5 linked regions of the Cricetulus griseus genome follow. The protein of the gene in region 4 interacts with the protein of the main gene of each other region in a pairwise test. Links are inferred from orthologs where the notes say so. Each region holds a gene or a part of one and is shown on either strand. Other genes may lie near its edges. The genes, in order: Sln, Rnf8, C-type lectin domain family 7 member A, Tmem79 and Tnmd.

Region 1 (4,532 bases), on a different chromosome or scaffold from region 4:
AGATTAAATAAATGTAATAAAAATTAAGAATCAAAAGGAAACGAAACATAAATCAATCATCATTTGCTACATTTTAAAATGAGTTTCTGTAATCTGTTCATTGGCATAATATAGTATGAACCTGTATATTATACTAATAATTACATAACAAAAGCTGGTTGTTCTTTTGGTATCTATGCAATTAATAATTTGGTACATTGATGATACAACAAACATAACAGTTATAGTTAATTCAGTCAGGCCAGAAGGTTGCTACAAAGATTTGGTCTCTTGAGATTTGATCTTTTGCAAACCAGTAAGTACCCTTTCCATTTAAAGTTTTTGCTCCCATGATAGAATTTTGAGCTGCAATATAATCTACTTAAATTATCTAAAATACAGGAGTTTTAAAATTTATTTTGATTGTATAAACCAAGCATCTGTTTCACTACTTCACCAAAATTAGTAATCTGATTGATAACATTGCCTATGATCTTGGAGTAGACTTTCCTGCACGTACAATCTGTATGCATGCTAAAGATACCATCTCTGCTGTCTGAAATGTTTACAATCTAGGCACATCCTGAGCTTGACTAAAAATAGCTGGCACAAGCTCTTGTTGAAACAGAAATGCTCATGAGGTTAACACTTGTTCTTTGGATTGAGTACCTGTTGTGCGAGGGACTTCTAGTTGACCTCTACAGGCTTTGTGCCAGAGTAGGCTTGTACAAAGCCATGCAGCTGTTGGAGCTACTTTATTCTTTCACCAGGGTTGGATGAAGACCTAGGGCAGTTTTAAATCTGAACGATGATGTTATATGTGATCCAAAGAAAGAGCAATACTAAACTATATTTTTCCCCTGTTTTGGTGTCCCTGCTTGCAGATACTCCAAACAGCAAAGTTAACACATGACATGAAGATGAAGAGAGAAAAATGCAATATTTTATTACTTACCTAAAACAATGCAATTAATACAGGATAAAAACATTGGTCTTAGGATGACAGCAGGAAGAGAAACTAGGCTATTTGTATGCATCCATGCTCTTCAGAGAAGCCCAGATAACTCTGTCTGTCTGTCTGTCTGTGTATGTTTGAGAAATTGATTCATATCATTTGAAGGTTGGCAAGTTCAAAATACTCAAGGTAAGTTGCCAGGCTGTAGCCTCAGAGAGGAGTGGAAACTTAACTTCAAATGAAATCTGAGGTCACATGTTGGGGACCAGGGTATCAGCAAGGCTGGTTCCTTCAAGGCTTTTCTCCTTGGACTGAGAATGGCCATCATTTCTGTTTCTGCAATGTCTTCCCTCTGTAATGGGTCTGTGTCCTAACCTCCTCTCCTTCAGACATCAGTCATACTGAATTAGTGCCCACTAGTAACTGATCTAGTTTGCTTCTCTTCCCGTGGTAAAACACTGACCAAAAACAACTTGAGGTGAAAGGGTTATTTGTAACTTACAGGTATAGTCCATCCTGGAGGAAAGCCACAGCAGTGTCTCAGGGCAGGAACTCGGAGGCAGCAAGTGGAGCAGAGACTGTGCTGGTTATTGACTTGCTTCCTCTGGCTTGCTCAATTACCTTTCAGTTTTACCTTATGTTTTCTTTTTAAAGATTTATTTTTATTGTTTAATATTTATTCTTATTATTTTAATTATATGCATTTGTTTGTGTGTGGGGGGGGTATGTGTACATAAATGTAGGTGCCCAAGGAGATCAGAGGCATCAGATCTCACCAGAGCTAGACTTCTAGGCAGTTGTGAGCCTCCTAAAATGGGAGGAATTATTCAGTTGAGGTCCTTTTCCCCAGCTGGTTCTAGGTTTATATCAAGTTGATGCTGAAGCTAACTATGACAGTGACCGCATATTAGCTTAATTACCTCTGGGAAGACCTCATCTCTAAACACAGTCACATTCTTAGGTCTTGGGGAATAGGATTTCAATGTGTAAGTTTGGGGGGAAGGGTTGGAGAAGTCAGCACAAATACTTCATTTTTCTCTGAAGGAAGACTGGACAGCTTCCGGGCACGCTCACTTATCTCCCATGTTGTCTTTCTTATTTTGTTAGGAAGCAAGGACAAGCCGGAGGTTCTTGGTGTGCTCTCAGAAGTCTGCCTGGAGTTCTCACTCAGAAGATGGAGCGGTCTACCCAGGAGCTATTTCTCAACTTCACAGTTGTCCTGATCACCGTTCTCCTTATGTGGCTTCTCGTGAGGTCCTACCAATACTGAGGGGCCATGCTGCACTTCTGGGAGTGACTGCTGTGTGCCCCGAGCTTCCACTGCTGTTACTGTCATGGGATGCTATTCTTGGTACCACACCATCTCTGACCCGCACTCACGATGCCTGACACTGTTGTGTGTTTTCTAAAGATGCTGTCCTTGTGGGCTGCCAAAAGCTTGTTAGCCAGTGAGCCTTAGGCTTGTTCCCTAGTAAATGCACGATTCAGGCCACCAGGTTAAAATTAAACTGTATTCCTGATGATGCAGAGCAACAACAATGTCTGGTCTGTGTCAACACACATCCCCCAACCCACCCTGTCTGCCACCGAACTAACTCAACCCTTCAGAAGAAATGTACACGGAAGTCTTTGCCAGTCCCTTGAGTTCTCATGTGAATAAAGTTAAGCCACTCATGAAAACGGCTTTTAGAATTTATTTTAGCTCCTGTGTGACCCTTGGCTGGGACTGAAGTGACAAATAGCACATTATTTCTAGCATTTGAGATTAGCCAGGATGCTCCAGCTGCCTAGGATCTGAAAGCAAGACAAGCCAGGGTGTCCCATTTCAAATGATTCCATTGCTTCTCAAACCTTTCCTCTGCTAATCCTACGGCCAGAGGGAGAATGACTACAGCCTGCTAGAGTCTTGGGTCAGAGCCTAGAGTGCCTGCTAAAAGCATAGAATTCCTCTTAAGTCTTGTGCTTTCCCCCATAGCTTTCACAAGAAATGGGCTCAGGAGGTGATTCACTCAGTAAAGCCCTTACTTTGTAAGTTCAAGGGCCTGAGTTTAGACTCTCAAGAGCCATGTGAAAGCCCAGGACAGTGGTGTGAGCTTGTAATTCCAGGTATGGGAAGATAGGAGGCAGAGACAGCTAAGACAGGTCCTGGAAACTTTCTGGCTGGCCAGACTAGCCTACTTGACCAAGTTTCACACCACGAGGGACCCTCTAAAAACAGATGGGGAGGCACCTGAGGTATGACACCTGAGGTTGTTCTCTAACCTTCCCATGCATGTGCACAGATGTTCATGCACACACCTGCATATATAAGTGTACCCCAACATGCACACAAGCATACAACCACATATGTAGAAAACACATGCAAACATGTGAACATGCATACATATATACAAATGCACTCATACACCAAAAATGAACAAGAAATATAATAAATTTTGCTATGCCTGTCTGCAAGTACATATTTAGAATAGTTAACCCCTGAGTGAAGCTAGAGCACAAATCATGCCCCTATGAGTAGCATGTTCCAATTTGGTTCTTGTCCTTATGCAAATAGAACCAGACTCGAGGACAATTTTAAGAAGGGGAAATGGAAAATACACATTTACATACATGTTCATAGGACAAACATAACATGTTGCTAATACATCCTATTTTAGACAGATGGACCACATCTGCTATTTGTGCAGGTTTGTCATAACGACAGGCAAGGGAGATGTTAAACCTCCTGTTGCATGATGCCCTCCACGAAGGTGCTCCTTGCTGAGACTCTATCTGATCTTTCATGGCAACACTCCCTACACAGCACTCTGCTTCTCATCCCTGTCTGCATTCAAAGAAAATCAATAAAGCAGGGAAGGTCTTTCAAGAAATTGATGTAGCCTCCTTTCCAGACCAATTAAATAGAAATATTAGTGGTGGAGCTGAAGCACCCGAGTTAAAACAACAACACAACCTGAACAAAAAGCACAGCATCACCCAGATAGCCTTAGAGGACAGCCAGAGTTGAGGGTCAAGAGCCACCCACTGTGGCTCAGACTGGCATGTGAGAGTTGTTTCTTGAAAGATGGATTCCAGATGATTCTAATGTGTGGAGACATTAAGAACTGATAGCTATGAGAGATTCCCAGCAAAATATGGTCCCTGATGTCCTGGCTCTAATTTTGGAATTAGCTCAAACATGTGGATGTGTGTCTCTATTGATTTAGTGTGTGGGACACATTCTCAGAGGTCTGGAGGGCTCTTGGTTTATGGTTAGCAGAATGTCCTTTATTTGAAGAACACTTGTGAGGACCTACTGGAGTTGAGAAGGTATGTGTGTGGTAGGATGGGGAGGAATGGGCACAAGGAGTGACATGCATACCCTTCAGACATTGGACCCCATACACATTCCCTGAAGCCTGGGTCCTGGTGCCACACTTATAGCAGGGACAACTTGGTGAGTCCACTGCATTCCAGCCCTTTCTGAGGTTCTGTGTATGTATTACCATCAGCAGCTATGGAAACTGAAGCTTGGAGACTTCATTAACTGAGAGTCAGTGGTGAAGCTGCAGATCGAAGATTAAGACAACAGTATCATCCTAATCTTTGCTGGTGACAG
Region 2 (6,253 bases), about 190 Mb from region 4:
TCCTCGTCCTATAGTCACCTGAAAGACAGAGGCAACGTGAGAGACAGTCAGTCACTATGATAGACAGGGAGGCTCTTCACCGTCTTACCAACCAGCAGCACGCAGGCCCTGACTTAGGGAAGCAGACATCTGAGGAGCCTCAACTGTTCATCCACTGTTTTCTCCCTCCTCAGCGGCCACAGGGAGCCACCAGAGAGAAAAAGGCAACACTTAACCACGGAGGACTGGAGACAGAGCTCAGTGGCTGAGAGCACGGCTGTTCTTCCAGGTTTGTCTTCCCAACAGACACATGGTGGCTCATAACCCATCCACAATTCCCAGCTGCAGGGGACCCGATGCCCTCTTCTGCTATAGTGTTACCTCTTGCCCCCACCCCCAGGCACCAGGCATACACATAAAATAATCACTTAAAATAAGGAAGAGTTGATATGAATTCTCAGGCTACCACAGCCCTGAACGGTCGGTCAGTCATCCACTTCTACCATCCCATTCCCATCGGTTTGTCTTCAACACTGGCATCCATCCATCACACAAGTAAGACAGGTCTCGGCTTTTTAAATGCCCAGCTTAGCATCCCTTTCTCTGGAAATTCTTCTAGCTGGCCCTGGTTCTGCCCCGAGTCCATCAGGAAATCTCCAATCTCCTTCTACACACAGCTGTGAAGTAGCCTCCAAGTCACTATTCCTGGCCCTCTGTTCCCAGCCATTTTACCTGAGTCCCCAGGGCCTGTGTTTATTGTGATAGCTGTTATTTAAGAAAATCAATTTAAATTGGTCTACAAAGTCAAGTCATGGACCACTTTCCCAGTTCTAGGCATGGCTACCGACTGATGTGTGGGTCTGACTTTCATGGCGCTCCAGTACACTGCCACAGTGTCCTCGGCCTGAGAAATAACTCTTGTTTCTCCATCCTTCCTTCCCCCAAATTACTATGACGAGTTGGTAAATGTGAATTCATATGGAGGACCTGACACTGGTTTCTGTTCATTTTCATCTTGCTTGTTCAGACTAGCACACTGCCTCATTGAGACTTTAACTCTTTAAATCTGTCATCAGACAGACAGACATAATGTTCCTTTAGCATTAGTCTCCAGGAAACTGACACGACAGTTGATGTTGAACTTCCAGTCAAGACATAAGGAAATAAAATAAAATGGGGATTAGAGAGAGCTCTTAACTCCAAATCCGGATTCAGTGCCCTCTTGTGGCCCCTGCAGGCACCCATACGCACATGGATGCCCACTTTGCAAAGTCTACCAACCAAATTCCTTGACCCTAGGTCCCCACTTACCCACAGCAACGGCTTGAGGGTCTGTAGAAGACAGAAACAAAGCTCTGGTTCCCACTCGTCACACTTCCTGGCAGACCTATCTAATCATAAACTTGTAGGGAAAGAAGTGACCGTCTTCTGAGATTCGGGTCTGTTTCCCGATTCATTTCTGTGTGTGATCATCTCTTACCGGGGCCCACAGTGGAGCAGAGAACTCCTGAAGTTGTCCTGACCTCTACATATCCACCACAGCACGCAAACTCTTCAATGGAGAATGTGCAGGTCTAAGGACTAGTGTGGTGGGGGGGATCTTCAGGGATACCATCCTCATTCACTGACCATTCCCAGATTCAGTAGCTGTTTTAGAGGAAGCATTCCATATTCCACTTGAGGGGAAACAGCCTGGCTGCCACTGGGGAACACAGTACAGAAGACTGGGAGAGCACCTTGTTCTGAAACTGTCCCTGACTTAGCATCCAGAGGAGAAATGTCCAGTCCTAGAATACAATGGTTCTATTTCAGCCCCCTAAGAACTCCCTCGGCACTGCTCCATTAACAACCATGAAGCACCCTGATGTTAACGCAGACCATCCCCTTGTTCCTGCCCGTCTTCCCTAGCCCCCTCCTCTGCAGGGCTCTGTCTCTGGAATAACCAGGAAGTCCGCTAACCATTCCTTCCCCCTTTCACCCACTCGGACAGATAGTTTACTAAAGGGTTCCCTTCGATACCAGATGAGGGTCCATCCGTGCGTATCACCAGGCAGGCTTCTCTTATACACAGGCCAAGGAGGGTCAATCCTCACCCTGACCGGCATTCTCTTGGTTTGTGCGGGTCTCTCTCTCCATAGGTGTGATCCCGTAAGAACTATGGCACCATGTAGAACCTGTAGTCCTCTTGCCCTTGCTACCCCGGGACTGCCAATCTATTCAGAAGTAATAGATTAGTTCACTGAACTGAGCCTCAATGAGTAAGTCAACACTTGATTAAGTTTCCCTACAGGGTTGAGACAGACTAGTGAATGTTCAGGGATCAGATTAGGTAAAGCAGGTGAAAAAACAACACACATGTAAAAATAAGCAGCTCTCTAACGCCTGCCAATTTAAAACCGGACCTGCTCTAGAATATCACTAAATAAGCCACACCTTAGCCAACCTATAAAGGTCACAGACTCCTTCATTGTAGAAATAATCTTTCCTGGGCCGGGTGTTGGTGGCGCACGCGTTTAATCCCAGCACTTGGGAGGCAGAGGCAGGCTGATCTCTGTGAGTTCGAGGCCAGCCTGGTCTACAGAGCAAGTGCCAGGAAAGGCTCCAAAGCTACACAGAGAAACCCTGTCTCGAAAAACCAAAAGAAAAAGAAACTCCATAAACTCCAAGAGCAGAAACTATGTTTGCCCCTCAATTGCAAATATATAGCTTATCAAAAAAATAACCTAACCTTACCAATTCAATATATTTAATTTACACGACGTCTTAGGATGACTATTGTGATGAAATACCACGACCAAAAAGCAAAAAAGGGGTTTATTCAGCTTATACTTCCATATCGTTGTTCATCATCAAAGGAAGTCAGAACAGGAATCAGGGCAGGAAGCTGGAGGCAGGAGCTGGTGGGAGAAGCCATGGATGGGTGCTGCTTGCTGACCTGCTTGCTCAGCCTGTTTTCTTATGGAACCCAGGGCCACCAGCCCAGTGATGGCCCCACCCACAATGGGCTGGGCCCCTCCCACATCAATCACTACTACAATGTCTTACAGCTGGATCTAATGGAGGCATTTTCTCAATTAAGATTCCCTCCCTTCTCTGGCAGTGGTGGTGCACGCCGCCTCTAATCCCAACACCCGGGAGGCAGAATTCTGCACGAGGATCTCCATGAGTTTGAGGCCAGCCTGGTCTATAGAGTGAGTTCCGGGGGCTATACAGAGAAACCCAAAAGGATTCCCTCCAAATATTGCACAGTTTCCAAAGCCCAAAGGGTTCTGAACAGCAAGCTCGTACCTGACCCAGGTCCCCTTCCAGAGCAGACTGCAAGGATGGGCTCACCCTTAGCTTTCCTGGAGCTTTTCCTAGCACCTCCCTCCCGCTCCTAACTGTGCCTCCCCCTTTTTTGCGTTTTAGTTTTGCATTAACGGAGCCTTCCGAGGGCCTGGGTTCGATCCCCAGCACCAGCCCTTTAAGCCTGCATTGTCAGACAATGAAAGCAGTTTCTGGGGAGGTCTGCTGACTGTCCCTGCCCCACTCCGGGGGTGCAACCGTGGCCCACCCCAACCCGTCAGTTCTCCTCGGAGGTGGAATGGGAGACTTTATTTTTCTAAAGTTGGGAGGGTTTGTAGGCGAGGCACCATTCAACTCGCCATCACACTCAAAATCAACTGCAGACGCCCTCCGCTGCCGTCCCGGCGGGGTCAGTGGGGACGCCTCTGCCTCAGTTTCCCCGTCTGAACCGGGTCGTCATCGCAAGGCTCCGAGAGGCACTGTCGGGGACCGTGCTGCTCTCGGCTCCGTGCTGCTCGTCCCCGGAGGTCCCCGCGTCCGTTACGGCGGCTCCGGCACGGGCCTCGCTCCCGCGCAGCCACCCACCAACCCGGGCCTCTCAAGCCACGGCCTCGCCTGGCCTCGCGGCCCGATCCCGCCAGCCCCTGAGGCGGCCCGATCTGGCTGCCGCCCTGGTGCCTCCCGCCAGCCGGATCGGCGCGGATCGGCTCCGCAGCCTCCACGCTCCCGCAGCCCCCGCCCCCGGCCGCCCGCCCGTCCTCACCTCACTCGCAGCCTCCAGCTGCAACCACTCCCGGTCCATCCCCAGCCGCCGCAAGCACCAGCTCCGGCCGCCCGCGAGCTGCCCCGAGCCCAGGGGGTCCGGCTCGCCCATAGCCCGCTCGGCACTGGGGCAGCCAGCGCTCAGCAACGAGCCCAACTCCAGCCCCGGCTCCAGCCTCCTTCCCGGGTCCCGTCCAGCACCATAACTAAAGCCCAGGCAGAAGCAATCGCGCGGGAGCCGCCGAGCCGACGCGAACGCGGACCCGCCCCTGGGCTGGGAAGGCGGGCAGCACGCGTGCGCAGCGGGAAGACCGGGGGCGGGAGAGCCGCCGAGAGGGCGGGCGAGCGGGCGGGAAGGGCGGGAAGGGCGGAGCATGGCCAGGGCAGGAGGGCGGGCTCAATGCCGGAGCCCAGGGAGGTCCGTGATGCAAGTTCCGGGCCAGCCAGGGCTCGGGGGAAGGGACGGCTCCGCGAGTGAAGTCGCCCGCTGCCGAGTTCGGTCCTCAGGCTTCACCTCCGTGGCGGATGCAGAAATCTGAGCCTTCAGATCGGCCTCCGACCTCCGCTGGCGCACCGTGGCGGGTTTGTGTGTGCACACCAGTCAACACGTAGAAACTATAATGGATAATGAAAGTGATGAACACCACCGCTCTGCTTGGGCGCAGGAGCATAACGTGACTGTCCCACGGTCCAACGCCTTCCCCTCCCCTCCGTGCTCTCCCAAGCCACCGCCCCAGGTCTAGCGGCTACGAACTGGAACCTCTTATTTCCACCCCACCCCTTCTTTTCTTTGGCAGGGTGCGGAGGAGACCGAAACAGAAAGACGAAGGGTTCAAGGGCATCCTCGGCTACACGGTGAGTTCAAGTCAAGCCCGGGATAGGAGACCTGTCTACAAAACAAACAAAAAATGCTTTATAACGACATTCTAATGATGCCTGTAGCCATGTTATGTAAAACCATAGCCTACTTTGTGTTTGAAGTGGGAGATGCTGAAGACTGAACCCAGAGACAAGAGGATGGCAGGGGTGTAAAGTACTCTGTAGATAAATTATACCCTCACTCCATTACAGCCCACCTTTGAGTAACTTTTAAAACTCGGTTCATTTTAAAGCTGGTTTGGTCTATTCCTGTTTAGCATCTAGTTTTTGCATGACCTCCTTTCGTTACTGAATTTCTAAAAATTATAGCAGGCAAATCTATAGAGACAGCACACGGTTACCTGGGGGGCTATCTGTGTGAGAATACAGACCGAATGCAAATGGGCGTGAAGGACCTGGGGAGGGGGTGGTATTAAAGTGTTGTAAAAGCAGATTAAAGTCAGATTGAGAGCTGCACAAGTGTACAAATTTACTAAAGTGTTGTGGAATAATCTTTTTGTGCACTGTGAAGATGTGTCGCTCCGATTGGTTTAAATAAAAAGCTAAACAGCCAACAGCTAGGCAGGATTTCCAGGCACAGAGGATGCTGGGAAGAAGGACAGAGACACCGGGAGCCGCAGAGCAAGCAGGATGGGCAGTACAGAGATTAGATAATAAAGCAGGATGCAGAAAGTTAATTAATAGAAACAGGTTAGTTAAAGCTATAAGAGCTAGTTAGAAACAAGCCTAAGCTACCGTCCAAGCTTTTATAATTAATGTCAACGTGTCATTTATTGAGGAGTCTATGGCCCCCATGAAAAAGACCAGCCAAAGGCCATTGACATGCACACTTCCACCCTATGACTTCAGCAGTATGGAAATTATCCTCAAAGTGATGAACACTTAAGAGTGCTTGCTGCTCTCCCAGAGGACCACAGTTACATTCCCAGCATCCACTCTGGTACTCCAGCTCCAGAGAATCCGACTGTTAGTATTCAAGCATCTGAACTGGCCTGCCCTTGGGGGTCCTGATAAAAAATGTCCTCAGCTGCAGCCACTAAGAGCACCACCTGTGCACATTCGCTAGGCTCTCCTATAAAAGGTGGGCAAGTCCACCTCCTGTCTTTCCCTCTCCCAATCTCCCTCCCTCCCCCTCCCCTCTCTCTCCCCTCTCCCACTGCCACCTCTCTCCCATTCTCTTCCCTCAATAAAAAAACTCTCCACCTTAGCTCTGTTCTGTCTACCCCACCCCACCCTCCGCTGGACACCCTTTTCAGGCCATTGGGGGCACCTGCATTCATATGTACAAAGACACACAGACACTCAGTGATGGTATCACACAAACCTTTTGATCCCAACACTGGGAAGG
Region 3 (6,434 bases), on a different chromosome or scaffold from region 4:
TGTGTGGCTGTGTGGCTGGGTGGCTGGTGGCTGGGTGGCTGGGGCTGTGGCTGGTGCTGGCTGTGGTGGCTGGATGGTGTGTGGCTGGTGGAGTGGCTGTGTGGCTGGGTGGCTGTGTGGCTGTGTGGCTACTGGGTGGCTGGGTGGCTGGGTGGCTGGGTGGCTGGGTGGCTGGGTGGCTGGGTGGCTGGGTGGCTGGCCCCTGACATTCTTCTCTCCTCCTTTTCTCACTCCTGCTCCTAGGTCTTCTTTTCTCTCAAGCCTAGATTTATCTTCCTATTTATTCTCTCTGCCTGGCAGCCCAGCTTATCCTTTCTCATGCATAGCTATTGGCTGTTCAGCTCAGCAGGCAAAGTAACACAGCTTCACAGAGTTAAACAAATGTAACAAACATAAAAGAATACAACACATCTTTGCATCAGTAAACAAATAAGCCACAGCACAAGAATGTAGCACATCTTAAACTATTATTGCATAACATTATTGCACGACATCCACCGAGCTTAAGATGGAAGGGAACACGACGGGGTTTATTGCCTTACATTCTCCTTTCTGTGTTTTCATATAAATAAGGATGTCCCTTTATCTAGACAGTGAAAGAGGACAGAGGATCTCCTCCTCCCTTTCTCTCACATGAAGATCTCATGGCCTGTGTCAGGGGTGATCTTCCTCTTTGTGCTTTTTTTTTTTGTTTTTCTCAGATGTCAACATGTCTTATCTTGGGGTAGAATGTCCTACATCTCATCACACTGCTTCACAAAGACCGCATTATGACTTGAATGGCTAATGGATATTGAGAATAGATAGACAGGACCCTTATATGACTTATCCATGAACAGCCAGTAAGACTTTGTGGCAGACCAGGAAAGAAGCAGATTCTCACTTAGTGACTCTCCACTGACTGCTCTATCATCTCCATCCTTGTTAGACCTGGAGAAGTACAAACTTATGATCATATAATGACTTCTCCTACCTTCACCTGTACACCTGGCAGACCTACTGTGACTTCCAAGTAACTGAGGGTTTTTTTACTAAGGACTGGTGGATCCAGTAGCTTGAGGTACCTACACAAGCAAGCTTGATGCTGGTAGTGCTACTAGCTTCTTAAGTCAGAGCTAAGTTTGTTGTCTTGTGATCTGCAAGAATGATGAGTGTCTGAGATCCAGTCTCAAAGCATAAAACAAAGCAAAAACCCAACTTGGCAGTCGGTAGTAGGTGAATCCACTCTTAAAGCAGTTATGTTTGGAATTTGCAATACAGTATCTTTTCTCTGACCTTCGTGTAATAAAGCCAAGGCCCTGAACAGTTTCCTCAAGGGCAAACATTCAAAGTCATCGTCTTTGCTCTCCCTCACTGTCTCTGAAAGTTGAAAGTACATGTGCCACTGCCTCATGTCAAAAAGATGAGAAGTTTCTTAGTTTAAGGAGTGCCAATGGACAAGCCCTGATGAAGACTCACTTTGGCTATTGCTTCACACCACAACTTTACATTAGCACACGCCAGCCTCAGAAAGCCTTCCAATTGTTGTTATGTGGACTCTGACTTCAGCTCTTATTGGACTTTCTTTTCCATTGCAATAGTAATCCTTAAATTAAATCTCTCCTCATTACTTTGATGTCCTCCTTGTTGACCTCTAGCAGTAATAAAATTATGGAAATCAAACAATTTTGTACTAATTTGGTCACTTTGTGTTAACCTGTGAATTGAAAGAGAGAAAGAGAAAAAATTCCAGACATTTAGCCTTCTGTTTCTGTCTTAGATTGTCCTAAACTATCATTTGCATTCTAAGAGCCCACAAGAACAAAGCCAGTGCAGCAGAAAGCAATTCCATGTCTAAAAGACAGAGGAGACTTTGTTCCAATCTCTTGTTCTGGTTTTAAAGTTCTTATTGTCTGAGTATCCATGTCTTTTTCTCCTTGTTTGAAAATTGTAGAACTAAAACACGCTTATAGAACCCTTAGAGATCTGAGATTAAATGAAAAAGCCTATGTGCTATGCTGTACTAAGGCACCATAATTACCAATAAATATTTGCTCCCATATATTTTTACTTCATGATAAGCCTCAGCGAGATTCACCTGCTTTCTGTTGCTGGGATAATATGCTTTTGATACTTGCCTGTGGTTTCCTCCATCAGGCAATGAGTTTCTTTGTGGATCACCTTTCCGCAAGCATCCAGTTCCTCCAGCTGTGAAGTAGTTAATGTGTGTTTACAGAATGCACACATGCACAGATGTGTGCATGCAAGCAGAATACGAACAGACCAATGGTGAGCTCAAGGTACCAAAACTGCTTAACTGTTTACACAGGACACATCTACTAATCATGCCAACCCACATCAATTAATCATGCCAACTTGGTTCAGAGTGTAACTGAAGTCGTAGCATTGATTTCAAACAACAGCCATGCACTACGACGTTTCAGATTTCTTCAGAATTTACAGCCTCAAAAAAAGGATCTAGAGGGAAAAAAAATGGGAAATTACTCCAACGTGATTTTCATTTCCTGCTTTGGGCACTGGCTAGACTACTTATACTGAGTTCCATAAACCTCAGCAAAGAGCTGTTTCAGGGTTCTGTTTAGAGAGCCTCAAAACGACAGTTATCTTACTTGGAAAGAACATTCAAGTGCTCTGCCTACCCAAGGCCCTACAAAACAATGGAATATCAAGAGACTCTGGATGAAGATGGGTATACTCAATTAGACTTCAGGACTCGAGGCATCCTAAAAAGACCTGTGGAGTCAGAGAAAGGTATTCATTTTCATTTTCTCTCTGCTTATAGAACCTTCATCCTTATCAACAATAGTAGAGACCTGGGCAGACTCTTGATTTGTAGGACTTTCTAGTGAAATATATATATGTATATGTACATACATGTATATAGATATATATATTGGAAGAGTCATCACAGATTCCTTGGATGTTCACAAAACCTCTTTTTGGAAACTACCCAATGACTTCCACAGATTGTTTTTGATTTGTGGCGATAACCAGGACTGCTCCACTCTGGAGTCACAGATGCTTCATCAGTGGGAAGTGGGGTTGGTAACATGAGTGATAGGCGAAGATGAAGGAATTTTAATGAGTTACTTGCTGCTTGTGAGGGGGCCAAGAAACTCAAAATAGTGTAAATGAACCTGTACAATCTTACTATATATAGTGCCAAAGGGACAGGGTATGAAATCGTAGAGGATTCCATGGAAAATAAAAATGAATACATCTTTGGTGAAACCCAAAGAGTAGCCAGGAGTCACAGAGTTTTAAATCCCAAATCTGATATACTTTTGTGGGAAGAGACTAATTTGAAATTTTCAAAACTTGTTGCTGGTATACCAGGGATGGAAAACATATGCTAGAATAAAATGTCTAATTGGCAGGACATAGGAGATTCTTAAAATGGAAACAGTGCAAGATATACAGAATGTTAAAGGATCTCTCTCCTCACAGGGTAGGTGCTTTACTCTCTTTCTGGATCTCCTATTGGTCATCTCTGTGACTTGGGCTTCTGGTGTTGGTGTGGTAAGCTTAATACAAAATCAGTTCAGCGCTATCATTAAGGAAAAGATGACTCATGGGTTCTGACATTACAATTTGCTTTCTTCTGCTTTTTTGGCATTCACATTATGCAATTATTTTCTTCTTATAACCACTTACACAACCCCTTCCTTGTGCAATTAGCTTGTAAGATGGTAGAAAACTGAGTGAGGGAAGGGGCAAGGCTTTTGCTTGTGCTGTGTAAAGTACAAAGTGCTCCCAGTTGCTGGAAAGGGTGTTTCTATGCATTTTTAGATCACTTACTTCCAACAACAGTATTTTACGGTGTTACTGATCCAGTATCAAAAATGGAAACTTAAAAAATAAATAAATAAAAAGAAGGGGGTGGAGAAAGTAGTTTGTCCAAATGATGCACCAAATAAATAAAAAAGGAAACCTACCCTTAATAACTAGTTCTGTTTCTCCTACAGAAAACTGCTCACCCTATGAACAAGTAGGATTTCAGGGAATGAATAACACCCAGACCTATAGACTAGCATGTGAACCTGCAATTGAGGGGTATGCAGATGGCAAGGCATAGCCAGGAGTCACAGGGTTTTAAGTCCCAAATATGATATACTTTTGTGGGAAGAGACTCATTTGAATTTTTAAAAACTAGTTGTTGGTATATCAGTGATGGAAAGCATATGCTAGAAGAAAATGTCCCATTAGCAGGAGACAGATCTTAAAATGGAAATAGCACAAAATACGCAGGATGGGAAAGGGTGATAACACAGCTGAAGCAATTGAAGAAGAGCCATGCTGAAGCTGGGGACAATGGAGACTCGTACTACAAGACTAGACTCTCAGGACACTGACTCTAGTGGCTGATGACCCCTTTAGAACTGTCCCCACTTCAGTATGCTGGGCAACTAAAGGCTTCCACAGACTTTTCTTATTTTCTTTCTCATCTCTCTGGCTTTCAGGAAGCCGGTCTTCATCTCTCCCTTGGCGTCCCATTGCGGTGGCCTTGGGAATCCTGTGTTTGGTCGCACTAGTGGTTGCTGTAGTCCTGGGAGTCCTAGGTGAGTATGGATGAGGGAGATTAATGACAGTCACAGAGAATTAATCTGTGCATCAATCCCATTGAGTTCATGATATTAATTTCCATTTCACTTATAGGAGAATGGAGAGATTGGAAGATTGACTATTCCATTGCTATAAATTAGTTAGCGGTGGGATCATGAGTAGAAATGTAGACAATCTGCTTAATAAAACATATATTCTTAGCTATATTGCTCTACTATTCTACATGAATATCTTACTTTTTTAAAAGAGGAATTTGTAAGGTAAGTTAGTGGAGGGGAACTTACAGAGCTGGAGAAGGAAACAAAATATGCTGTTATCTTTCCTAGGGCATAGCTATATTAAAGGAGTTGTGTGTAATTTTATGAACCTTTGGACACATGGAAATTATCTCACAGATGATCTTTACTAAGAAAAAATCTTGACTCTTCCAAGTATTGCCTGAGGCACTTAAAACATACTAAGCAGATATTTTGTGATTGACGAATAGATCTCTTTAGGTTTCTATATCTCATGAATCCTGTGTCAATACAATTATATGATCTTTTCAAAGAGTCTTCATTGCTCATAATTAGTCAAATGCTTATTAATGTGTGTACAAACACACTCCATTTATTACAAGCTGGGCAATCCTCAAAGAGCTGCCCTTTTTAAATAATAGGAGAAAGCAGAAAGGATATTATTGTCCTTGAATTATTATTATTTCAAATTTTTATGATTTCAGCTAAGTCTGTGTCATTTTCTTCTTGCTTCCTTCTTCACAAAAGTTATTCCTTTCCACACATCTGATCAATCATCCATGTATCAACCATCAGACTCTGTCTTTTTCATCAGCAACGTAGCATTGATTTACCATTAATCATAGATATTCCCTATTAGCTTTCATAAAATATGGGGGCTGGAATTTCAATTCTCAAACAGAAGAATGACTTTCTTTTTTCTGTCACTATTATTGTTCCTGAAATATGAAGCATTTTGGAGATTCAATTCAGGGAGAAATCCAGAAGAAAAGGAAAACTTCCCATCGAGAAATAAAGAGAACCACAAACCCACAAAATCATCTTTAGATGAGAAGGTGGCTCCCTCCAAGGCATCCCAGACTACAGGCAAGGGCAGAACCTTATAAAGGAGCCATGGGATCCTGGATTTCAGAGGTCCATTTCCTGGTGCTGAGGCATGGGGTGGGGAAGATGTTTACGTCTAATAACAGTGTATTCTAGGCAAACATGCCTAGCAGTATTTCCTTAGCATAACATATCCTGTCAGACAAATGACAAAGTGATATCACAAGTCTACAGCTCTTGCCAACAGCATCAGTTACTGTGCTTTTCTCTGACTGTGTGTGGAGACCTACCGGATATGATATAATTGTAAGCAAAAGAAGAGGCAGTGTTCAGTTCCTGTAGGGAACTGATATTTTTACAGTGATATTGTTAGAATAAGATAGATGTAAGGGAAAAGGAATGTCAGGGGAAAAGTGGGGAAGTTGACCCTGCAGACAAGAGAGTAAACATGAGCAAGAATATGCAGAAGAAATGAACCTGATGCAGACACCACTGTAAACTCTGGTTAATCGCATTCAATCGTAGCATTTAATTGATTTTGTGACAATTTTTCTACACTCTGTGTTTCTGATTGGACTGTAATTGACTGACAATATTTTCCCTTCACTATTCCATCTCTGAACTTAACCTACCCACTGCTTTTAGCTAATGAAACATAAGAGTCTTGGAAATATAAATAGTTACATTTATGCCTTTCCATAAGATGAATCAAGTGAACTGGAGTTAATGTGTGTAGCAATTGATTTTGAGAGTGTTTGCTTTAGGGAGGGCAGTAGAGAAAGCCAGTCTGTAATTAAATTTGAAGTAATG
Region 4 (5,417 bases):
TGTTACGATAAAGTGTGGTAAACCTTTCGAGGATTCCATGGCAGGTGAGGGTGACCGAGGCAGAGGAACAAACATGACAGGCAGACAGAGCTTAGTGAGAAGTTTTATTAGAAAGGGAAAGTGTGTGTGTGGGGGGGGGGAGGTAAAGAGACACAGAGACAGAGAGAGGACAGAAGAGAAGAAGGAGACAGAAAAAGTCCTGTCTGTCCACAGGGGAACATCGGGAAAGAGAGAGAAGAAAACGAGCAAGAAGGAAGCTGTGCGTTGGTGGTGCACGCCTTTAATCCCAGTACTCGGGAGGCAGAGGCAGGCGGATCTCTGAGTTCGAGGCCAGCCTCTGGTCTTCAAAGAGAGTTCCAGGACAGTCTCCAAAACCGACAGATACTCAATAAACATTTACAGAATGAACAAACTTACAAGGCATCTTTTCCCCAACTTACTGTAAGTGCCCTTTGGCGTACAAACCCACTTTTCCCCTGATGCTTCCTGACCTGGAAGCTCTTACACATCCCAGAACACCTAAAGACCACACCTCTATGTCCAGCTGCACCCTCACTTTCAAAAAGGATGACGTCCTCCTCTAGAGCTCTTCCTGTCGGCAGATTCTGTAGGGCAGGGCCTGTGCCTTTAATCTGGGCCCCACCTGCTCTGGTCAGACAGGTTTGGAGTCACAGGCAAGGGGAGGGAGACTGGGAAATACTTGCAGAGCCAGCCAGGAGCTAGGCAGTTCCTTTCCGGGGATCCTCCGCCTCTCCACAGGTGTAAAGTAAGAGGGTATCATGGGTCCAAAGGGCAGGGGGGTAGGAGGGGCCCTAGAGGTGAATGAAGAGAAACAGCCCTAACCAGAAGCAGTGGGCCGGTGGGTGGCAGGGGTTAAGAAAGACAAGAGGAGGGCATGGGAGCAGCCACACTGGAGCTGAAAGTCTGAGTGGAGCCCAGCCTGGTTGAAGGGTGAGACTCTTGAGAGGGGAGTTTGGAAAGTGACTGGTTCCTGGAATTGGGGACTAAGAATCTGGCAACTGGTTTCGGTTGCCAAGAGAGTTCTGGGCAGGGTTCTGGAGGGCAAAGGGCAAATGGAAGGGTGAAAGGGCAGTTTCTCTGTAGGGTGATTTTCAGTTGTAGAGAAGCTCTCAGCCAAGTTCCTCCCATTCCCAAGAGAGGGTGGCCATGAATCCAGGGGTTTGGGTGCAGAGAATGGAAGGCAGGTGTGGGTGTAGACTGAGCCCACGGCTGCCAGGCTGCCCGGGCTCGTGTCCCCTGACTCACCCCTGTCCTGCTGGGTGACATTTCTTTTGAAATCGTTCCTCCATTGCAGTCCTCCCCTGCTGCCCTCTGTCTCAATGCCTTCCCCCATCCACGCTGTGTTCTCCCTAGAGTCCATGAGGCTGCATGAGTGAGTTCCAGTTTGAGGAACTAACTGTTCTGGGGCCAGAAGACAGGGTATTTTCACAGAACCTACCCCACTTCCAGTAGGATGATATCACCTTGGACCAGACCTTAGAACTGAAGCCTCACGATGACAGAACCGGAACCGGAGACACTGGCTCTGCTGGAAATGAAGGAACCCGAGGCTCCAGAGAAGAGCCCACCGCAGGTGCTAGTCCCCACTGGTCGGCAGCCAGAGGAAGAAGATGGGACCGAGTCCCCTGGAGCTGAGTCTCTCAGAGTAGGGTCTTCAACTGGGTCTCCCATAGTCAGAGAGAGGCCTGAGGAGGGTCCAGAGAGCACTATAAGTGAGGCCGCGACTTTGCCCTGGGGAACTGACCCTCACCCCAGCGCCCCACTTCCAGATCCCCCAGGCTGGCGAGATATTGAACCAGAGCCCCTAGAGTTGGAGCCACTCACCAAGTTGGAGGAACCACTCACTACTAAGTCTGAGGAACCACTCAAAGATGATGCCAACTTGCTCCTTGAGAAGTCAGTTAGGGCTTTCGTGCCCATTGACCTCCAGTGCATTGAGCGGAGGCCACAGGAGCGCACAGAGCGCAGGAATTTCCTGCCAGCCCGACTCAGCCACCCCGAGCCTCCGGAGTGCAAGTGGGCTGAGGCAGTTGTGAGACCCCCTGGCCGGTCCTGTGGGGGCTGTGGGAGCTGTGGAGGCCGCGAGGCGCTGAGGGCTGTAGCCTCGTTGGTGGCTGCCCTCATTTTCTTCCCCTGCCTGCTGTATGGAGCATACGCCTTCCTGCCCTTCGATGCTCCCAGGCTGCCCACCATGAGCTCCCGCTTGATCTACACCCTACGCTGTGGGGTCTTTGCCACCTTCCCCATCGTGCTAGGTGAGTCCGGGCCGTGGAGAAGGGCTACTTGGGAAGTGGACTAGAGAGGCCTGGTTGGGGTGGTCTCTCTTCATTCTGCTGGAACCATTCAGGACATCCCAGACCTGTGCCACTCTTCGCCCCCCCTCTTCCAGAGAGCGCTTGTGTCCTCCAGAGACCGCTTGGGGCAGTCCTGACCCAAGAACCATCCTCTGAGAAAGCCATCCCCAGCCCTCCTGCCTTTTCTGACCCCATCCGTGTGTGTGCTTCCTCCCCTGCCAGGGCTCCTTGTATACGGCCTGAGTCTGTTGTGCTTTTCTGCCCTCCGGCCCTTTGAAGAGCCAAGGCGGGAAGTAGAGATCCACCGTCAGTACGTGGCCCAGTCCGTGCAGCTCTTCATCCTCTACTTCTTTAATCTGGCCGTCCTTTCCACCTATCTGCCCCAGGACAACCTCAAGCTGCTCCCCCTGCTCACTGGTCTGTTTGCAATATCTCGGTGAGTAGGGGCTATGGTGGCCATGGCTAGGGTAGGCATGAGGGAAGCGAAGGTATTAGAGACTCCAGGGAGCTAAGGTCTGGAGATCTGAGGTCAGGGGATTGCTGCTGGGGCACCATGCAGTGGTTAGTCTATCCTATATCTCTTGTGATTTGCTGAGAAGCAGGTGGTCAGCTCCCATCTTCCTTTCAGAAGTTGATCTCAGATGCTTGCCGATGGGGAGCTTTTGAATGTTAATTTTTTTGGTACCGAGAATGGAATCCATGGCCCCATACATCTAAGCACAGGATTGACCACCCTAACCTCAGGTGTCATTTGGTATGCCCACTGAAGGTACTCCTCAAGTCTGTGACACTCCATACAAATAGCTTTAAAAATTGGCTATGTTGGACATTTCCGGTTTTATTTTGCTTGAGACAGTCACATCTCACCATGCAGCCTGGACACAAACTCTTGGCAATCCTCCTGTCTCAGCCTCTCAGGTGCTGGGATCACCACCACACCCCTTTCCAGGTTTGATAGTTCTAATTGCTAGAAAGTCCTTCCTTATACAGTGCTAAAAACTGCCCTAAAGCTGATGTAGTGCTCTCTCAGGCCTGCTGCAGTCAAAGTTCTTGGGAGGCTAAGACAAGAGAACTGCCAAGAGTTCAAGCCAGCCTGCTCTAGAGAATGAGTTCCAGGACAGCCAGGGCCACACAGAGAAATCCTGTCTCAACCCCCAGGAGCCCCCCAAAAAGAAAGGAAATGAACTGTCTTGACATGGACCTTCTGGATTTAGACTCTGGACAACACAGATCAATTCCTGCACTTAAACAGCCTCCTCTTTAGTGGTTTAAATGGCTCTGATCCCTTTGTCTCTGGCAGGAAATCTGCTCATCGGTGAGCAGAACCTCGGTTAAGGGCACTGACTCTTTACCCAGAGGCTAGTTCACTCTCATTACTTTTTTTTCATTCAATTTGGAGTCATCAGGGGATATTATTTTATTGACAGAATCTGAAAATGTAGCCCACACTGGCTGAAAATATGTAATTCAGGCTGGTCTCAAACCTACCATTATTGAAAGTGAGCCTTTGTTTTGTTTTGTTTGAGAGAAGCTCAAGATGTCTTGGAACTTGCTGTGTAGACCAGGATTCACCTGTCTTTGGCTCTTGAGTGCTGGGATTAAAAGTCTGCACTACCACACTGGCGCTTTCAGGGAATGCAGTGTTGCACAGCAGTATGGGCCGCATGTGGTCCCAGCCTCCACTCAGGAAGCAGAGGCCAGAGAATCAGGACATGTTTGAGGCCATACAGGGCTGCATAGTGAGGCTTTAACTCAACAACAAAGCAACAGTGAGCAGACAAAACAGTTGACAGTGAGGGGAGACACTGGACTGGGAGTTAGCTCGGTTGTAGACTATGTGCCTAGCATGCAGAAGGCTCTGGTGGAGTGTGCCTGTAGTCCCTTCATTTGCGAGGGTGAAGGAAGGACTGGGGGCTGGGGATATAGTTCAGTGGCAGATCACTTGCCTAGCTTTGTGAGGCCCTGGACCACAAACAAGATTTTGTTAGTATCTACAAAACAGAAATGAATCAAGAAACTGTAGAACTGGATACCTAGGGTGGGAGTTGGGGAGATTAGGATGGGAATCAGAAAAGGGGAAGACATTTTTTTTTTTTTTTTCCCCCGAGACAGGGCTTCTCTGTGTAGCTTTGGAGCCTATCCTGGCACTCGCTCTGGAGACCAGGCTGACCTTGAACTCACAGAGATCTGCCTGCCTCTGCCTCCCGAGGGCTGGGATTAAAGGTGTGAGCCACCAACGCCCAGCCAGGGAAGACAATTTTTGTTGTTTGTTTGTTTGTTTGTGATAGGGTTTCTCTGTGTAGCCCTGGCCATCCTAGAACCAGCTTTGTAGACCAGCCTGGCCTCAAAACCAGAGATTTGCTTGCCTTTGCTCCTGAGTTCTGGGATTAAAGATATGTGGCAATACCACCCAACAGGGGAAGAAAACATTAAAGTTGAATTGTCATTTAATTCTGGATCACATAAATGAACATTTAATTGTAACTTAATTAAGAAAGAAATTAGTTGGCCAGGAGCTGGAGAGATGGCTCAGAGGTTAAGAGCACCGGCTGCTCTTCAAAGGACCTGAGTTCAATTCCCAGCAACCACATGGTGGCTCACAAACATCTGTAATGGGATCCGGTGCCCTCTTCTGGCCTGCACTGTATACACAATAAATAAATGAATATTAAAGAGAGAGAGAGAGAGAGGAAGAGGATAAGGAGGAGGAGGAGGAAGAAGAAGAAAGAAAGGCAGGCAGATTTCTGAGTTTGAGGCCAGTCGGTCTACAGAGTGAGTTCCAGGACAGCCAGAACTAATACACAGAGAAACCCTATTTCGAAAACAAAACAACAAAATGAAATTAGTTTTGCCTACTTTTTTGTTTGTTTGTTTTTCGAGACAGGGTTTCTCTGTGGCTTTGGAGGCTGTCCTGGAACTACCAGGCTGGTCTCCATCTCACAGATACCCGCCTGCCTCTGCCTCCTGAGTGCTGGGATTAAAGGCATGTGCCACCAACGCCCGGCTTAAATCTTTATTTTATTTGAATTGGTGCTTTGACTATGTGTGACGCACCACCTGGAACTGGAATTACAGACAGTTGTGAGCTGCCATGTGGGTGCT
Region 5 (6,259 bases), on a different chromosome or scaffold from region 4:
AAGACAGCTCAAAAATGGAGCAATTGGAAAGATTGTGCTAGAGAAGATAGAGGACACCAAGGAAACAGTGTCTTCCAGACACAACAGAACTAATACACATATGAGCTCAGAGATTGCAACAGTATTCACCAGTCCAAACCAGATTGGTTCTCATCACTGAGATGGAGAAGTAGATAGGAACTCCTATCCCCAAGCAAGAAGCTATCTCCAATTAGCAACCAGTCCCAAAGGAAAAATAGGTTTCTTCAAAGGAGTCTAAATATATATACAAACCACACTTAAGAGCAGTCATCATGCCCAGCTGTAAATGGCCAACACAAAATGAATTCAATGGTAATTTGGGAGGGGTTTTTGTCTCATATTGCTTTGTTCAGACATTTTTTAACCTTACTTTGCTTGTATATTGTGTTTTCCAATTCTGTGTTTTTATGGGTTTTGGGGGGCTGGTATGTCTTTACATGTGTATGAGTTTCTCATGCTCTTTCTTTTTTTGTTGATTTGTTCATTGTGTTTTACCCTTGTTTGTCTTTTGTATTTGCCTCCCTGTTATCTTAAGAGAGGGAAGGGTGAGGAAGTGGCCAGGACCTGGGAAATGAGGGAGGGGACACTAAGATCTAAATAAAATAACTTCATTTTCAATAATAATAAAAATAATAAGCTGGGCAGTGGTGGTGCACACCTTTAATCCCAGCACTCTGGAGGCAGAGGCAGGCAGATATCTGTGAGTTTGAGACCAGCCTGGTCTACAAGAGCTAGTTCCAGGACAGCCTCCAAAGCCGCAGAGAAACCCTGTCTCAAAAAACAAAAAAAAAAAAATAAAGATTAAAAATAAAAATAATAAAAATTAATTAAATGAGATATATATTAGGAAAGAAGGAAAGAAGAAAGAAAGGAAGGAAGGAAGTAAACAAACATCTTGATCTTGGATTGTAGCTTCCAGAACTGCAAGAATGTGTTTTGTGTTGTCTTCTAAGGAATATATTTTTTACAGGCAAGTCAGTAATTTGGCAGTACTTTATTATTGTGGGCCCAGGAAACTAACTGTAGTGGCCATTCATGGTTAGGATTATGGGAAAGAAAGTAGGTTGGTGGAAGGAGTATTTAAATAGTTTGATAGGTAGCATACTGACTTACATCCAGATACAGACACTTGCGATGTTCAAATGGCTTTGAAATTAAAAAACAGAACTGTGTTACAGGTACAAATTTGGATGGCATTGCTATATAAGAAATCTATCAGCCCCAGGACTTGATGAGGTCATTTAAGCAGTTTATGTAAAGTGAGAAAAAAATCATGAAGCAATATAATGAACACCAGCATTGAGGGACCGCCTAAAGAAGACAAACAAAATCATAGAGATGGGATGAAGAGAGAAAGCTCACAATTGCTCCTCATCATATCCTGGTTTTAATTATAATTAGTTAAATACATGTTGATCTTGGCAAAAAGAGTGCTTTTACCTAGTGAGGCACACTATCTTATTTACTTCTGACTCTCCAGCACCCAAGAAAGTACCTGATACTTAATATCCCTGCAATAAATATTTGCTTAATTGAATGGAATTAAAATTAGAACTTCATTCCCTTTTTTGCTCTGTTTGCTTATTTCTGGAGTATGCAGCATGTATTGCCACTGGTATTTTAAGTTCATAGTGAAAAATCATTTCAACGTGTCCTAGGCTTGATCCCCTTCCAACCCAACCCCCAGGACAATAGTTTTCATTATAACCTGTCTTTGCCATTCTGGATGGAATTCTGTGCACAGAAGTTATATACATATATGGGTATATCTATGTAACAAATCGCAGCACAGGAGCCCCCTGGGCTCCCTCCGGCTCTGGTATGACATATTTGAGCCATATAAATTCAGCTTCTCCTCTGGCATCTGGTCGCCGACTCACTTGCAACTCCACCTCGGCAGTGGTCTCTCAGTCTTCTCAAAGCAGGCAAAGAGCACTGTGTGCTGGGAGACTATGGCAAAGAATCCTCCAGAGAACTGTGAGGACTGTCACATTCTAAATGTAAGTTGATTCATATATTTTCCCTTTTGAGCAGAAGCATGCTTTCACAGATTTATCGTATTGCAGTGTGAACATTAGAAAGTGAAATCGACGGAGACTTTGAATTATGGCTTGCTATTTTGAGGGTTATTGTGTATTGTTTCATTCTTTCTGTTCTTTGCTTAGGCAGAAGCTTTGAAATCCAAGAAGATATGTAAATCACTGAAGATTTGTGGACTGGTGTTTGGTGTTCTGGCCTTAACTCTAATTGTCCTGTTTTGGGGGAGCAAACACTTCTGGCCGGAGGTATCCAAGAAAGTAAGTAACACTTACCCAGTGTTTTTTTTTTCCTGAGTTTGGTTGAATTTAACTAGTGATTAACATGTGAATTAATATGAAAATGAAAACTTTCATCCTTTTTGTATTCAGTTGGGGCACAGAAAATGAAATCAAGGTTTTTCTTTCGTTTACTTATGTAGGTGTGGGGAAATTATCTTCTGCATTTTGTTTGGTTAGTAGTGACAGGAAGTAAATTTACTTTTATGGTTGACTTTAAGGAGTTAAATCTGAAAGCTTTTTTAATGTACAAAAGAAAAATTACTTTCCATCTTTCTTTCCATTATCTGGGAAGAAACTGATGGCAGAGTAACCAGACAGTCACATAAGGAGAAGGCACCCGAAATGGCAGCAAATTGTTTTCAGGGTTCATGTTCTGATTTAATGCATCTGCTATGAGGACAGGCAGCAAGGAACACTCCTTTTTCAAAGGAGCAATTCTCATATCTGAGTTCATAATTATTTGTAACTTAACCAGAGCTAGAGCCTTTCAGCTCCTCCGCAGTCACAGCCATTGTCCCAGTGAGATAGTTATGCCACGGGTAGATACAAGCAGCAGTAAGTCATTAATCACAGATATGTCAGAAAGCTTCTAATATTGAGGACATTTGACGAGGCGTGGTTGCCATTGTGGTTTGTATTCCCATGCTTCCATGTTACTGTTATTCCTAGGCTCACGTGCAATAGACAAGTTTAGATGTGACCCAAATAAAATCGTAGTCTTTTCTTGCTAACAGTTTCCACTTGGATGAGAATTAGATGAGCTAAAACCCATTAAGATGGGCTTTTGGCTTTGCCATATTCTTTATTTCTGAGCCTTTCTTGTTGCTGCTGCTACTGCTGCTGTTGTTTTTGTCATGAGATGCTCATTTCTACTTGGTAGCTGATGTAGGGAAGAAAAGGCACAGATCCAGGAAGGAAAATGAGACAAGAAGAAAATGGGTTGGCATGGACCATTAGGAGCCAAAGGAGCAATAGGAGCAAAGAGTTCATGGGGAAAGGGAGACAAAGGAGGAGAAAAAGAAAATAAACTGGCTAACTGTCCAAATAAAAACAGAAAAGTAAAGCATAACTACATGGGATTCTCCACCTCTGCTGCAATACCTGCTTACATTTAGTCTCAAGGGATACCTTGTAAAGTTTAAGTAGGATGGAGAGCAAACAAGCCTACTTATCTGTTTGCCTTTTTATTTACATCATGTTCCAGAAAGGTTTTCAGGCATCACCCACTCCTATTAGCCCACCCACTGCCCTACTGCTTTTGAACTACTTACTATTCAGATGACTTTCTAGAGAAGCCAACTATGCTAAGGCTAGCAAGGTGTGCAAAGCAACCAACATCAGAAAAGAAACAGAAGTTGAATTGAGAGCCAGCACTCATTCCAGTACAATTACTTACTTACTTATGGCATCACTTAGCTAATTTCTAAAGTAATATGCTGCCCCAAAAGTTGAATCACTAATTCTCTTGGAAATTATATGAATATAGGGCCATAAATCATTTTAGTTGTTGTGAATATAATACCTTCACTCTATGTTTCAACCATTCATAGATATGTATCTGAACAAACACAAGATAGACTTTCTTGTTTCCTTATATCCACCGGCACAATAAATGTCATTCTAACCACATTTATGTGTTTTTCTAATCTTACAGTGGTATTTGCTTCAGTGCAGTAATAAATGACCATGGGGGTGACTTGGGGAGATCTTGCCTTTATCTTGTAAGAATCCACACTACCTAGCTGAGTTCATGATCTCCCCTACCTTCCAATTATACTATCGTCATTTCCCATTCCAGTTCTTATAAATATGATTACCAAAGAGCAACTCTGTAATTCCTGAAACCAAACAAGAAACGCAGCCAGTGCATACATGGAAAGGGTACGAGTATGCTACTGATTAAAGTGTACTTAAAAAGAAAAGATATCAAAGCAAAATGAAGTAATTCATCTTAGGATATAAATTTCACGAAAAGGAATGTAAAGGAGGGGCCGAAGTCATTATGAAGATATACAGATAAAAGACACTATGTACCTCCTATGGTAAGTTTTTCTATTGTGAACAAATACTATTTACTTGCTATTCCATGGGGAATTACAATATACTGTCTTTCATATATATGTCCTGGCCTTCACCACAAAGTCATGTTGAGGTCACTGAAAATCAGGAGACCAGGTAGTAGTACAGATTCTTTATTCAATCAACTACTACATTCTATGTCCCAGACAAAGAGCTTGGGATGCTATCCATGTTCCTAGTGACCAAGACCCTGACTAGGCCTGCATCTGAGCAGTTAAGAATCCAGGGAAAATAAAAGTAGTCTATTAGTCTGGGAAGAATATTTCCAGAGGAAAATGATCCAAGCATCTTGTATAAATTTAAGACTCTCTCTTTAATAGTATGGGCTGGAATGAAATGCTGATTGACAAAGTAAAACCCATGGTCTTCTGGACTTTGCTTTGGTTGCCTTTGGGATTCGTGAGGCCTGTGGGGCCTTTGGTAGAGAGAATGACTGATACATTTGTACTTTTGTAGTGATACCTTTGTTGTCTCTGGGCTGTCTCTGAGCTCTCAGTGTTTGCTTTTCCAGCCCCCACAATACTCCTTCTTGTTTTCTTTTTCAACATCTGTTTATAATAAACAGTGTTTATTTAACATCCTACATCTGGTGTTGACATTTCCAGGCTACTAAGTCTTTCCTTTCCCTCCCACCTTCGTATGCACAAAAGATGCAGATGATGGATTTCAAAACTGGAGTAAGCAATATTTGACTCCAAGTGTTCCTCAAACATGCATGTGAACACACACACACACACACACACACACACACACACACACACACACACACACACACTTATCCAGGAGAAAAATAAAGGAGGTTCAACTCTGAGCGAACTTCTGTACTTCTTTCCAAGCCCTAGGTTTCCTGAGCCACAGCCGTACCTAGGAGACTTGAAAAAGTCTTGAAGAGGCTTGAGAAAAGCCAAGTCTATAAGGCTCTGTGTTCAGCTTTCCTAACTGAGCAGAAAAAAAAAAACGTATTCAGTTCCAGAGATTTCGAGAGGTCACCATATTGAGAGTCCACTTCTAAGCAGTAACTTCCTTACAATCCATGAAGCATACTTTTGGGGGGAAAATAGTCTTACTTAAAGTTCCCTGTGTTCCACATTGAACATGAAAGAATTAGAAACCAACTCTTCAACTAATCAAATCAACATGGAGAAAACAAACCAGAAAGGCTGTAGCTCTTAAACCAGCAGTTTATAAACACAGCACAGATTTTGTACCCCACTCTTTCAAACTTTTGTGAAATGAGACAGAAACACAAAGTTGTGTGGATGAAATGGCATGTGTTTTCTGCCATAAGTCAGAACTAGGTGGTGATTTTTAGGGCTGCTGAGAAGTAATCACACACACACACACACACACACACACACACACACACACACACAGAGAAGAGAGAGAGAGAGAGAGAGGAGAGAGAGAGAGAGAGAGAGAGAGAGAGAGAGAGACAGAGAGAGAGAGACAGAGAGAGAGAGAGAGAGAGCAATCAACATATTCCAGGAGATGCTCCTTCAAATTCCACATTCTAGCAGCATGAGATGAAAGGTGATGGGGATAAGTGAGCATTCTGTCCTGCCCATGCCACCTCAATTGCAGAAGATCATCGAAACAGTCTCATTTAGGTTTCATACCCAAGATCATCCAAAGCTGAAAATCCTTTGCACAAAAGAATTGCTTTTTGCCAAGTCTCAGTCCAGCTTGCTTACTGGCTATTTTCTACTACTAACATCAGCCTCAGAGCAACTTTCTTCACTCATCTCTAGGCACACAAAGGGACAACATTTCTCTCTAGATTGCCTGGGCTCTTATACATGGCAGTCTAGTGGTTGAAACATGGTACAGGAAAAGGATTTATA

What was found.
Region 1: the proteins of Tmem79 (region 4) and Sln interact in binary tests that used the Homo sapiens proteins (3 or more experiments, as listed by UniProt). The two-hybrid records come from large-scale screens. The link is inferred for Cricetulus griseus from reciprocal best matches to the Homo sapiens genes TMEM79 and SLN.
Region 2: the proteins of Tmem79 (region 4) and Rnf8 interact in binary tests that used the Homo sapiens proteins (3 or more experiments, as listed by UniProt). The two-hybrid records come from large-scale screens. The link is inferred for Cricetulus griseus from reciprocal best matches to the Homo sapiens genes TMEM79 and RNF8.
Region 3: the proteins of Tmem79 (region 4) and C-type lectin domain family 7 member A interact in binary tests that used the Homo sapiens proteins (3 or more experiments, as listed by UniProt). The two-hybrid records come from large-scale screens. The link is inferred for Cricetulus griseus from reciprocal best matches to the Homo sapiens genes TMEM79 and CLEC7A.
Region 5: the proteins of Tmem79 (region 4) and Tnmd interact in binary tests that used the Homo sapiens proteins (3 or more experiments, as listed by UniProt). The two-hybrid records come from large-scale screens. The link is inferred for Cricetulus griseus from reciprocal best matches to the Homo sapiens genes TMEM79 and TNMD.

Annotation. Positions count from the first base shown.
Region 1 is NC_048597.1:165,581,817-165,586,348, forward strand, and holds Sln (sarcolipin), read left to right. Parts: upstream 1-2,045; 5' UTR 2,046-2,108; coding exon 2,109-2,204; 3' UTR 2,205-2,562; downstream 2,563-4,532. UniProt on the Homo sapiens protein: Reversibly inhibits the activity of ATP2A1/SERCA1 and ATP2A2/SERCA2 in sarcoplasmic reticulum by decreasing the apparent affinity of the ATPase for Ca(2+). Also inhibits the activity of ATP2A3/SERCA3.
Region 2 is NW_023276806.1:258,073,359-258,079,611, reverse strand, and holds the start of Rnf8 (E3 ubiquitin-protein ligase RNF8), read right to left. Parts: upstream 4,313-6,253; 5' UTR 4,139-4,312; coding exon 4,028-4,138; intron 19-4,027; coding exon 1-18. UniProt on the Homo sapiens protein: E3 ubiquitin-protein ligase that plays a key role in DNA damage signaling via 2 distinct roles: by mediating the 'Lys-63'-linked ubiquitination of histones H2A and H2AX and promoting the recruitment of DNA repair proteins at double-strand breaks (DSBs) sites, and by catalyzing 'Lys-48'-linked ubiquitination to remove target proteins from DNA damage sites.
Region 3 is NC_048601.1:16,594,947-16,601,380, forward strand, and holds the start of C-type lectin domain family 7 member A, read left to right. Parts: upstream 1-2,657; coding exon 2,658-2,751; intron 2,752-4,460; coding exon 4,461-4,559; intron 4,560-5,531; coding exon 5,532-5,666; intron 5,667-6,434.
Region 4 is NW_023276806.1:66,160,010-66,165,426, forward strand, and holds part of Tmem79 (transmembrane protein 79), read left to right. Parts: intron 1-213; 5' UTR 214-1,516; coding exon 1,517-2,276; intron 2,277-2,537; coding exon 2,538-2,751; intron 2,752-5,417.
Region 5 is NC_048604.1:46,267,054-46,273,312, reverse strand, and holds the start of Tnmd (tenomodulin), read left to right. Parts: upstream 1-1,973; coding exon 1,974-2,021; intron 2,022-2,186; coding exon 2,187-2,318; intron 2,319-6,259. UniProt on the Homo sapiens protein: May be an angiogenesis inhibitor.